Bombyx mori: one gene and its partners. The protein of the gene in region 3 interacts with the protein of the main gene of each other region in a pairwise test. Links are inferred from orthologs where the notes say so. Each region holds a gene or a part of one and is shown on either strand. Other genes may lie near its edges.

Region 1 (3,160 bases), on a different chromosome or scaffold from region 3:
AGTTATTATTTAGTTTTTTTTTCTTTAATTATGGGTAGAGATGTCTGCTAATCATTAATTACTAACAGTACAGAATTAAGAAAGATCAACTTTATGATCTGATCTGAGATTACCTATATACTCGCTTTTTTTAGGGATTCCTACCATGAACTGACATGTAGTACACTCAATAGTAAGTGATCACTGTACTCATAAACACCAAAAATGTCCTCACAGCAAACTGGTTGCCTTCTGGTGAGAGCACTTTTTGAAAAAGAGCATTTCATTGCCCTCAGAAGATATAGAGTAGTGAAAAGTTAGAGTGAAGCTAATTTCAGACCCAAAAAACATATGGCAAAAATTATATCTGGCACCAAGCTAATGTTTACAGCAAGCCCACGAGTAGGTATGAACTCTATGGAGTGATCAGTGATGGTTACATAGAGATTACTTATAGAACATAGAGTATAACCACACAGGGAACCAAGGTTTTTCTCACCAGACCCAGAGGTTTCAAATGATTTACTTGAATTACAGTCACAATACTAATTTAATTTTATTAAAAGCTATTCACAATTATTTTCACTTTACTTAATACACAAATAATAAAAAAAATCAGTCTGCTCAAAACATATCACCTAAGGATTCTTCCATAAATTTCTTATAAATAGCCATAAATTTAGCAACAAAAGCTTCAAGGTGGAATATTGGCTTATTCCCTAATCGCATCCTGTGCTCATATCGTGCTGCATAGCTCGCTACTTGACATTTTAAAGTCATATCACAATTTCTTACTAATTCTTTAAGTAATCCTGAAAATATAGTCTCTGTTGGTATTCCATGTATTATTAGTTCATAAAGTTTCTGACGTACTTCACATAGTTTTTTTGGGGACTGTTCTGATAAAATCATTGATGCAGTTTCTCTTATGAATGTTTGCCAATCCGGTTCTGGCACTTTTTGATCGGGTGTAAAGGGATATTGTTGGACCTTACAAGCCTCACACATGAGTAATGCTCGGCGTAAATTACGATCAGCAGATTTGGCTATACGTAGTGCTAAATCATTAGGTAAGCTTAGACATTCCTTTTTACAAACAAGTTGAAGCACTGTTGCAATTTCAGATTCAGTGGGTGCAGGTACTGATATCGTCAAACAACGTGATCTTATCGCTGGAATGACTCTAGAAATAGAATTAGCAATAAGTATGAGACGACAAGTTGCCACATATTTCTCCATGGTTCTACGTAATGCGTGTTGTGCGTCCTTGGTTAAATCATCTACTTCATTTAAAATGACAACCTTGAATTCACGTTGTCCGTTTGAATCTATCTGATGAGTTTGAGCAACGTTTTTTACTAAATCCATAATAACAACGCGATCATGAATTCCGACGTCGGTTGGGTTAACTTCAATGTGATAGTTACTGCTAACTGTCATAATTTCGATTTTCTTGTTTGAGGGTGTTGTAAAATTCATTGTTTCTTGCCTTAAGCGCTCCACACCTGATCCATAAAGCTCTCTCAATAAGCACATAACTCGTGTTTTCTTACCGGCTCCAGAGGGCCCGTAAATAAGAAGGTGAGGAAAGTCACTTTGTTGCACAAGATTTTTCAGACGTACAGCTTGTTCTTTGTGGTAATCCAACTTCATTAAATCTTTTGGTCTATGTTTATCAACCCAGAGACTCATTTTTCAGTTAATTTATAACTTTTAAATAACTTCAATTTTGTTTATAAGTCAAATTTGTCACAAGTTTCGGCGGCTTTTTTACTGATTGTTATTGCTTAATTTGTTTGTAGTACAGGCAAAAGAAATACAGGCATACCGCCAAAATCTCCTTCCCTGTGTTGATCTTTTTGAGATTATGAGTGTGTTAGCCATTATTCGAAATCGAAGTCTAAAAAATTTACCAGGCTGAGAAGACGATTTGAAAAAGCGATTCCTAAAAATTTTTAAATTTTCGATTTACTTGAGCTTTTAGAAATTTATTGATTTATTTAATTCGAAGATCGGTGAACGAGCTCATACTAGGAAAAAAATTTACACGTGTTTGCAGATGCGTGTAAATTAAATTAATTGATTACACTAAAATTAATTGCTAATTATTTGTTTGTATCAATACAGAAAAAAACGAAATTTTGATACTATTTGGTATTATTTTCGATTAATTTAAATAAAACTTAATTTTTGGTTTCAAACAAATCGATTCTGTGAGAAGTCGATCTTGAATCGTTATCCCTATCTGACATATGTGATACTTGACTTGACAATTGACATTGTTTACAAATCTCAAAACCTTTAACAAATCCTTAACAAACCCATTGGTTTAGTTTCGATAAACCTGGTTCAAATATTAAGCCAATTTTTCGATGGCGTAGATCGCTGAAATGGCGAAGCTGTTAATAATTTTTCTCTATTGTATTTGTGCGAATGGAGAACAGTTTAATTTGCAAGGAGATGCCGGCCTTGCCTATTCTGTTGAGGTAATCATGGGACATCCACATCAAAAGGTAATACTATATTAATTAATCTTCTTACCCATAGCACACAAAATTGGGTCGGAAAAAACAACAAAACATAAAGTTTTGTTCTATTTGCCATTTCCATTTTCTGGCAACTTCATGACGTAGGTAAACCAGTCAAACAGTTATTATGAAAGAATTCAGTTTCTAAATATAAAAAAGAATTGGTCGTAAAATTATCACACATTATAGCATTCATAACTATTTTTTCTTATGATGTGAAATCAGTGAAGAATTTAAGAAAAACAACCAAATATTTAAACTAATCAGCAAATTTTGTAAATTGATAAGAACTATGAGTGGTACATCTTGTAAATACACATCTGTGGCTATTTTTAAACCACAGCTTTACTTTTCATAGTCATTAAGATTTCAGCCTATGTATAAAAGTGCACAGCAGTATCCCATGTCTTGGCTTAATATTAAATATCATTTAGTAAGTTTTGAGCTAGTCTGCTCAAAAATGGTATTAAAGAAATGACCATAACGAAAATGCATTCGAAGACCATCTAGTCTAATAAAATATTTATTTATTTCAGATAAACCTTTTAATTGATACTGGTAGCACAACATTAGCTGTTGCTTCATATTCAAGACAAGATAGTGATAAATACTTTGATGCAAACAATTCTAGCAGCATTTATGACAGTGGGAAA
Region 2 (4,202 bases), about 2.9 Mb from region 3:
TGTACCACCGAATCGGAATCGCGACCCACTGGGAAGATCCGGCCAGAAAATTAGTGGGTTGTGTCTATTGGCTAATTTGCACAGCGTAAATTTTGTAATGGTATACAATAAATTAAATAAGGTAAAAAGAACAAAATAAATAGGAGGTTTTGCAAACTTCTTACCGTTTAATAACATTCTCTCTAGCTAATGGCTTAAAGCGAAATTTTGAACAGCGACTCGTGATTGGCGGTATGATCCTTGACACATAGTTGCAGATGAGACAGAACCGTGTAGTACGAGTCTCGCGTTCCATAGTGCGTCGAAGTGCCGCTTGAGCTGCTGTAGTCATCGAGTCTGCTTCATCCAGAATGACCAGTTTGTATGAGGGACATGGTCGACCACTATACGAACATGTAATATTTAGCAGTATTGCTTGATTATACAAACATGCACTTGTCATTGTATATATAATACATACACACAAATATGTATCTCTTATTCAAAAAAATGGGCCAAATGATTTTCTTAGTCTCAAGTTTATAGCACGACACACCCTTTTTTTATTCCTTCCATTATTATTATTAGGGATTTTCAACTTATTTTTAATTCTTAAATCTAGTGGTACGTTTTGATTAAATCATGACATGATAAAGACAGCCTGTTAATTTTGTTAAAATGTAGTTACCCATTTCAGTTCTAAGGGTGAGAGAAACATTTAGCTCTTCAATGAGCTAAGTTTGTTTAAGAATTTGCACATATTGTTTGACAATTTTTAAATAATATTTTAATATATTATCTTACTATATGCAAATAAGTATAAAGACTTTGACCTCATGTGTCAAGGTTTAAGGTTGTGGGATTTAAATTGGACATTAATGAACATTCACATGCTTAGTAACAAACTGACCTAAATCCTAAAAAAGCAAATTGTTTTCAATTGACTCTCACAATCTCAGACTCATAATGGTTTATGTCAGTACCATTATACAATCTTGGTCAAAATATACATACATAAAAGAGACAAATACATACTTAAGAAACGTTCATGAATGACTTTGACGGTGATGGAAGAACATCAGGTAATAATAATCAAACTGGCAAAAATTATAAATTGCGTAATTAATGGTGGTAGGGCGTCTTGTGTGCCCGTACAGATAGTTACGACCCCTTGCCTTTTTTGCTTTGAAGTGCCAACCAGAGCATTTCGGTTTGCAGGTGTGGCAGCCGTTGTACCGTAAAACTGAGACCTAGAACTCATGGATGGAGGAATTTATGTTGTTGCTGTTTATGAGCTCCAGTTACCACTTAAACCAAGTGGACCGTGAACTCGTCCACCCAATTTAGCAAAAAAATAATATTCATAAAAATTCTGAGATATAAATCTCTATAATTCACTTAGGATTTAAATCATAATTGATCACGCTATTAATAAGGATATGAATTATTATGTCTAAGTCATGAAAACAAATAAAAATATTATTTGGGTTTCAAGTCACCTTTACATACATTACATCTTTTATTTAGGGGCCCAAGCTAAGGTAATATAATTAATAAATTGTCCTTTTTATTGTTGCAATTAATTAGGTTTCAGTAACATCAACTGCAAGCCCTTTAAAGTTTTAAATTGATACGAACAGATGTAACATCAATTTGACGAATGTAACATCAATTTGTTAACTTGTTAACCCACTGAGTTTCTCGCTGGATATTCTCAGTGGATCGCGAGTCCGATCCTGTAGTAGATTCAGCGAACCACTGCTCTTGCTAAGGCTAGTGTTAGCAATTCCCTCTGGTTGAGCCCGTGGGCTCACCTGCCAGTCCATGTGAAGTTGGATGATTAGGAAGGGAGAAAAAATTACATGTAATCGAGTAGTTGTGGTTGAGGCTGCCACTCAAGTAAGGACCAGTTTAGTCATGGTATGTTATTATAATTGATAAGGATATAGATAAGCTAGTATGCATCTACTAATAAAATGGAGTGGTTTCGAAAAATAAAATGAATAGTAATTTATTTTTTTCGAATTAAAGGTTGTTAATAAATTATTATTTCTAAATGTAATTAGGATTAACACATTAGGATTTCATTTAACAGTTACAGTTGGTCATGGCAGCCTTTTTTAATCAGGTAAATAGGCAGGAAATTATGACTTATGTCTGCTTATTACTGCTGTATATTACAAATATTATTGGTAAAATCAGAGTACTTACTCAGCTCTTTTTCCGCTAACTGTAAGCTGGGCAAATGCTTTAACTTTATCTCTAACGACTTGTATACCGCGTTCATCGGATGCATTTAATTCCAACACGCGGTCTCGACTGATATCTCCGAAGAGTTGCTTTGCAGCGGCAAGTATGGCACTCGTTTTACCGGTACCCGGCGGTCCATAAAATAGTAAATGCGGTAGATCTCCACCGGATAAACATTCCCTTAGCACTTGAACAACCTCTCCTTGGTCCACTATATCGTCTATTGTCTTCGGTCTACTGGTAAAGAAGATTATGATACAGCAAAATTTAAATTTAGATGATTTTAGTAATATTCCTGTACTTACTATTTTTCGACCCATGGAGCTGGAGGTTTTTTCTTATTTGTAGTTTTAACTCCAGAAGTTGACGCTTTGTCTCCTGCAGATATCTTTCCAGTCTTAAGAAATGCTTGCATTTTATGAGAGTATTTACTGATTTCCTTTTCACTATTTTGAAATTCACAATTTTTTTGACCTGTTGTTGAATTGCTTTGAGTTGAATTTATCAGGCATGGGGAGCTTGTTAATACAGCCACTTTCTTGTTTTTTAGAAAGTTAACGTTTTTTAGAATTATACACGTAGACTTTTTGGCACGAACACATTAGACATAGCATTATAAGTTTCGAAAACTCTTTCGTATTATTAGTTTAATGTTCCTTCAGGTTGGAACGAATTTAAATGGCTATTTTTTTAATTTTCTAGCATCTTCAAAATTGCAGAAGTATCGTAAAATAAACTAAATCGCCGGACGTGACTTCTCGTGTTCTTCAACTCTGAAGTCCATTGAAGCTTTAGTAAATTTCCACCGTTTTACTAAGAAATAACTTTACTTCATTACGTCCAACAACCATGTAATAGTTTTATTATATAGTTTTTTATTTCTACGTAATTGTAGTAACCTATTTTATTTTCTTTAATACCATATTCAATTTAATTTTCACTTTCAGTTCTTTTATGTATACTTACTTTATATACAATAATTACTTTAATTACTGTTGGACGGTTAAATTTGAGGGGATTGGGTTCTGTAGGTGATGAGGGGCTATTTAAAAACACAACTGCTTCATTATAATTATATTGCAGATTGCTTGAACACTTTTACACCATTATACAATTATTATCTTTATATTTTTTTAATGAAACTATTACATGTTTTTCATGCCGTGTCTAGATGAGAAGTAACTGACATTTTCTTACGAGAATACAATGATCTGTTTTTTAAAACATTTAAAATAATTCCAATATTCGAAATCTAATCAAGTGTCAAGTGTTGCCTGCCATTACATTTAATATACAAACTCCAACACACCCCCTCAACACTTGCACACATTTTTCTCCGTCTATAACTTAGTACCAAAAAAGAATAATGCTAACCTGACCTTCATAAATTAATTCTTTCCATACATACCTAAAAAACCTCACAACCACTTACATTCCGTCACTTCTACATAATCCCTCTCAATTCAACCATCAACTATTCATTCAACCTTTCAAACTTAATACTATCTTTAATGTCGCTACCTTTAATCCTTTCTTACTTCTCCAACTCCAATTCGATCAAAAATGTACTTTCATTCAACCATACAACCTTAACTTCTCTCTTGACTCACTATATAAAACCTTAACTATAATAGTCTAACTCCTTCTCGACTTCCTACATAAACTCTTCAAGTTTATTTAAAACTTTTAACGCCTTCTCAACCTCTTTACTTTAATAACCTTAAACGCCTTCTCAACCTCTTTACTTTAATAACCTTAAACGCCTTCTCAACCTCTTTACTTTAATAACCTTAAACGCCTTCTCAACCTCTTTACTTTAATAACCTTAAACGCCTTCTCAACCTCTTTACTTTAATAACCTTAAACGCCTTCTCAACCTCTTTACTTTAATAACCTTAAACGCCTTCTCAACCTCTTTACTTTAATAACCTTAAACGCCTTCTCAACCTCTTTACTTTAATAACCTCCTTCTC
Region 3 (4,366 bases):
AGTACGAATGTATTTGTAGAATTTATACTTTAATAGGAAGTAAGTATATTGTTATGTGCAAAGATGATGTGATTTAGATATTATGTGAAATCTAAGACGAGTTCGTCCTTCAAATTTTCCAAGTAAACGATATGACGATTTTTAAAATTTGCTACACTGATTTTATAAAGTTGTCGTTTGCCGCAAAACATAAAGATATGGCATAGTACAGTGCCATCAGCCCATTTTTAGCATGCTGAATGTTATCGTATTTTGAGTACGTGTTTTTCTTAGACTATTACAATCTATTTTGATTGTTTTGCTGACTCTAAAGTCCGTAACACACTACCGCAGCGCACCCCAAGGAAGGTGCGCCGCACCATTTGAATCACTTTCACTTGAGAGTGATTCAAATTTTAAACTTATCAAGGGACCGCGTGAAAAAAAAAACACCTACAGAACATTTATTCATTATTAAAAACGTCATTCCTTGTGACTTCCTCTCTAAAATCACTTAAGTATTAAATATTTAACGAATTTACAATAGTGTTTTACTCACTGCGAATAAAACTATTTTATTTAAATAGTTCCGAAGAGATTTTGTCGGTAGCCTTTTTCCCGAAATATCTAAACAGAATGTCTAAATATGTTTTGATGACATATTTTAAAGAGGTATTTATGATTAGTGTCATGATCAATAGATTCCGACCGAAAAATGGTGTCCGATTTTTCGGATGAGGGCTCCTTAATGAATTTAAATATATATAGATAATAGTTTTGGGACATCGACTTTCTTGAGATCCTATAAAATACGTTTTAATTATTATTTTTGTATGTTCTAAGCATGATAAATTATGAAATTTTATATAAGCAATCATATTTAATCGATATCAAAGTCAATAATTAATGTACAACCCAAAACAGACGGCCGAACTGACGTGACAATGACATTTGGCGCGCTAAACATGGCGGATTTTCGGCCGCATTAGACGGAGACGGAGATATTTACGTATATTCATGTTTCATTTTATGTACGCACTGAAATACTGTTATATTGTTTTCCTGCGAGTTAAAGTGCTGAGTAAGAACGAGATAGATATATGTTTATGTGTGTGCCTTCAAAATGGGTGCTATTTATATAAGCAATTGTACGTATAGAACAATATGTCGTGTCCCTACTATATAGGTCTATGATAGGTACCTATTTAACTTTGGTTTTTCCTTTGAATACTTTGAGAGCATTCTATGGACTTACTTTTATAAATAAAAATATAAATCACAATCATTATGTATGTATGTTGTAGTAATTTAATCAACCATAAGTGCAGAAGTCCTAAATAAGTAATTGCCTTTTTTCTGAAATTATTTATTAAATTAGTTCGACTTCATGACTTAAACCAGGGAGAGGTATTCATTTTATTAAGTCATAGGATTTTCATTAAAGATAAATTTTATATTAATTTAATCTTCGGTTCAATTTTAAAATATAGGAAATTATTTGATTGTCACTGAAGCTGCTTCAAGCTAACTGTCAAACTCAGTTCAACAGCTGTCCTGTCAATTCTTCATTGAAATTGAATCAAACATAGCTGAACGGTATTTTCCGCGAAAATACACTTATAAATTTATTCAAAAAATCAGATTTCAAATGAACATGATAAAGCTGATAATTCATTAAATTAGAAGACCGTATTAAATAAGAAAATGTCTAAGGTGAAGTAAGAATATATTAATAAGAAATAAAATGGTACTAAAACTAAAAGATGCTCTTCAGCATTTGAGGACCTTGAAGAACTGTAGTGGCCAAATAAGTTTTATATTAAGAATACTTTTCTTCATTATATTCGCTACACTATATTCTCTACACTGATACGCATTTACTTACGATTAATTTAAATTGCTTCGATCATCTGAAGTTTTGAAAAAATGTTGTATTAACTTGGGATTAGATATTACGATTGATGTACATATGAATATAATTATCAGATTGTGTCACGATAACAGATTTTCCAAAATATTGTCGTATATGATTTTTTCACTACTCTAAATATCCAGACTAACATGGGTTTGATTGCTCAAGGCGAATCTGCCGTTGAGTAGTTACCGAGGGGTACAGACATCACAACATTAATGCCGATACCCACATTTTATTGTGTAACAGCTATCCCACACTTCACATATCAAATAGATGACTAATTACCAGTTCATACATAGTACATATCTGAGTGAGTTAAGATTATATGGTACATTCTAAATAAGCATTTAATCATAGGATATAAGATCATTTTTTATCACAACGAAGAAACCTGTAAAGTCCAAGGAAGCAGTTCCTGATGATGATGATATTATTCCTGAATCTCCTGATGTACAAATTAAAAAGAAGGTAATAATCTAAAACTAAAATGAGTGTTTTGTTTGTAGTAGTCGTCTTGGCCTAAAGGATAAGACATCTGGTACATTCATGTTGAGCGATGCAACGGTGTTCGAATCCCGCAGGCCGGTACCAATTTTTCTAATGAAATATGTACTTGACAAATGTCCACGATTGATTTCCACAGTGAAGGAATAACACTGTGTAATAAAAATTAAACCTTCAAAATTATAATTTGTGTAATCACTGGTGGTAGGACTTGTGTGTCCGCACGGTTAGGTACTACCAGCATGCCTATTTCTGCCATGAAGCAGTAATGCGTTTCGGCTTGAAGAATCGGGCAGCTACTATACTGAGACCTTAGAACTCATATCTCGAGGTCAGTGGCAGCATTTCTGCTGTAGTTGCCATGTGCTCCGGTAACCACTTAACACCAGGTGGGCCGTGATCTCGTCCACCAATTTACGCAATACATAAAAAATAGAAAATATATTAGCTAATATTTTTTGTTAGCAATCTCACAACTAGCATCTGAATAGAAGTTTTTGATCTATTTATGGAGTCAATCAATCAGTACTAGAAATTTAAAAATAATGTGGGAAATAATATAACAAGTTTTGTAATTTCATAATACACAATATTAATGAATAGATTTATTGACCGGATGATTTCTTTTTTCTTCAAAAAACAAAAATAAAATTTTCAAATTAATAAAATAACAACTGAAGTACAGTAAAAAAAATGTGAATTAAAAAGTTTTTTTTTTATTTATTGCATAAATAAGTGGACGAGCTCACAGCCCACCTGGTGTTAAGTGGTTACTGGAGCCCATAGACATCCACAACGTAAGTGCGCCACCCACCTTGAGATATAAGTTCTAAGGCCCCAGTATAGTTACACCGGCTGCCCCACCCTTCAAACCGAAACGCATTACTGCTTCACGGCAGAAATAGGTGGTGGTGGACTCACAAGAGGTCCTACCACCATTAATACCAATTCAGTAATACCAACCAATCAAGGTCCAACTAATGTGAAGTATTTACAGGAGCCCTCAGGTCCTACATTTATCACCATCTGCCTTGATATGCAAGGATAAAGTCTCAATTATAATGATTAAAGGGTTGCTCTACCATTAAACTAGAGTAATTGAGAATGACTGCTTCACAATAAAAATAGGCAAGATGATGACCTTTACCAACTCACAAGACACCAACCACATTTTTGTAAGATTTTTAATGATATTAATGTAATGTGCTTTCAGAAAAAAGAAGCAAGGAAGAAAAGAGTTATATTAGATGACTCAGATGATGAAATACAAACGAAAAAACCAAAAAAATCGGAAACACACTTAAATAAAAAAAACAAATCTACTGCAGAATTAAAAGAAGTGAAACCGATAGATTTATTTGGAAATGCACCCATCATAAGAACTGAGCCCATAGTCAAAAAAGAAAAGAACAAAACAGAGTTAGGAATACATTCGGATGATGAATTCGAAAAGAGTCTTCTTGAAATAGATGAGATTGATCATCTAGAAAAAAATAAAAATATTGATTTCACACCCTTAGAAAATGGAAACAATGATAAATCACACGAAAGAAAACTGCAAAAAGAAATGAAACAAAAAGAAAGTATTAAATTAGACAAAGATTCATTACCTTCTTTGAAAGATAAAGAGAAGAAAACAGATAGCTACAATGTTAATAATTTAAAAAACAAAAGCATAATAGATGAAGTTAAGGAAGGTAATAAAAGAAAATTCTCTGAATTTATTGAGACGAACATTAAAGACGAAAATGCTGTTAGCAAAAAAATTAAAATAGAAAAAAAAGATAAAGACGAGAGTTTCAGTTCAAAAGTAGAAAGTGATTTAGAAATGAATTCTTCAGCAATAGATGATGAATCTAGCAAGAAGATAACGAAAAATAGAGGAAATAAGAGTTTAAACGAGTCAGGTTAGATAGAACTTGAAGATAATATTAAAAATAAATTAAATCATATTAATTGAAAATACTT

What was found.
Region 1: the proteins of replication factor C subunit 1 (region 3) and replication factor C subunit 3 interact in a two-hybrid assay, tested with the Caenorhabditis elegans proteins (3 studies listed by BioGRID). The link is inferred for Bombyx mori from reciprocal best matches to the Caenorhabditis elegans genes rfc-1 and rfc-3.
Region 2: the proteins of replication factor C subunit 1 (region 3) and replication factor C4 interact in a two-hybrid assay, tested with the Caenorhabditis elegans proteins (3 studies listed by BioGRID). The link is inferred for Bombyx mori from reciprocal best matches to the Caenorhabditis elegans genes rfc-1 and rfc-4.

The regions. Positions count from the first base shown.
Region 1 is NC_085129.1:10,045,416-10,048,575, forward strand, and holds replication factor C subunit 3, read right to left. Parts: upstream 1,825-3,160; 5' UTR 1,672-1,824; coding exon 604-1,671; 3' UTR 511-603; downstream 1-510. Other genes in the region: beta-secretase 1, read left to right, coding at 2,370-2,492, 3,044-3,160.
Region 2 is NC_085121.1:12,205,153-12,209,354, reverse strand, and holds the start of replication factor C4, read right to left. Parts: upstream 2,947-4,202; 5' UTR 2,645-2,946; coding exon 2,535-2,644; intron 2,467-2,534; coding exon 2,191-2,466; intron 384-2,190; coding exon 165-383; intron 1-164. UniProt on the Caenorhabditis elegans protein: The elongation of primed DNA templates by DNA polymerase delta and epsilon requires the action of the accessory proteins PCNA and activator 1. This subunit may be involved in the elongation of the multiprimed DNA template.
Region 3 is NC_085121.1:15,073,820-15,078,185, reverse strand, and holds the start of replication factor C subunit 1, read left to right. Parts: upstream 1-1,507; 5' UTR 1,508-1,683; coding exon 1,684-1,692; intron 1,693-2,251; coding exon 2,252-2,362; intron 2,363-3,611; coding exon 3,612-4,305; intron 4,306-4,366.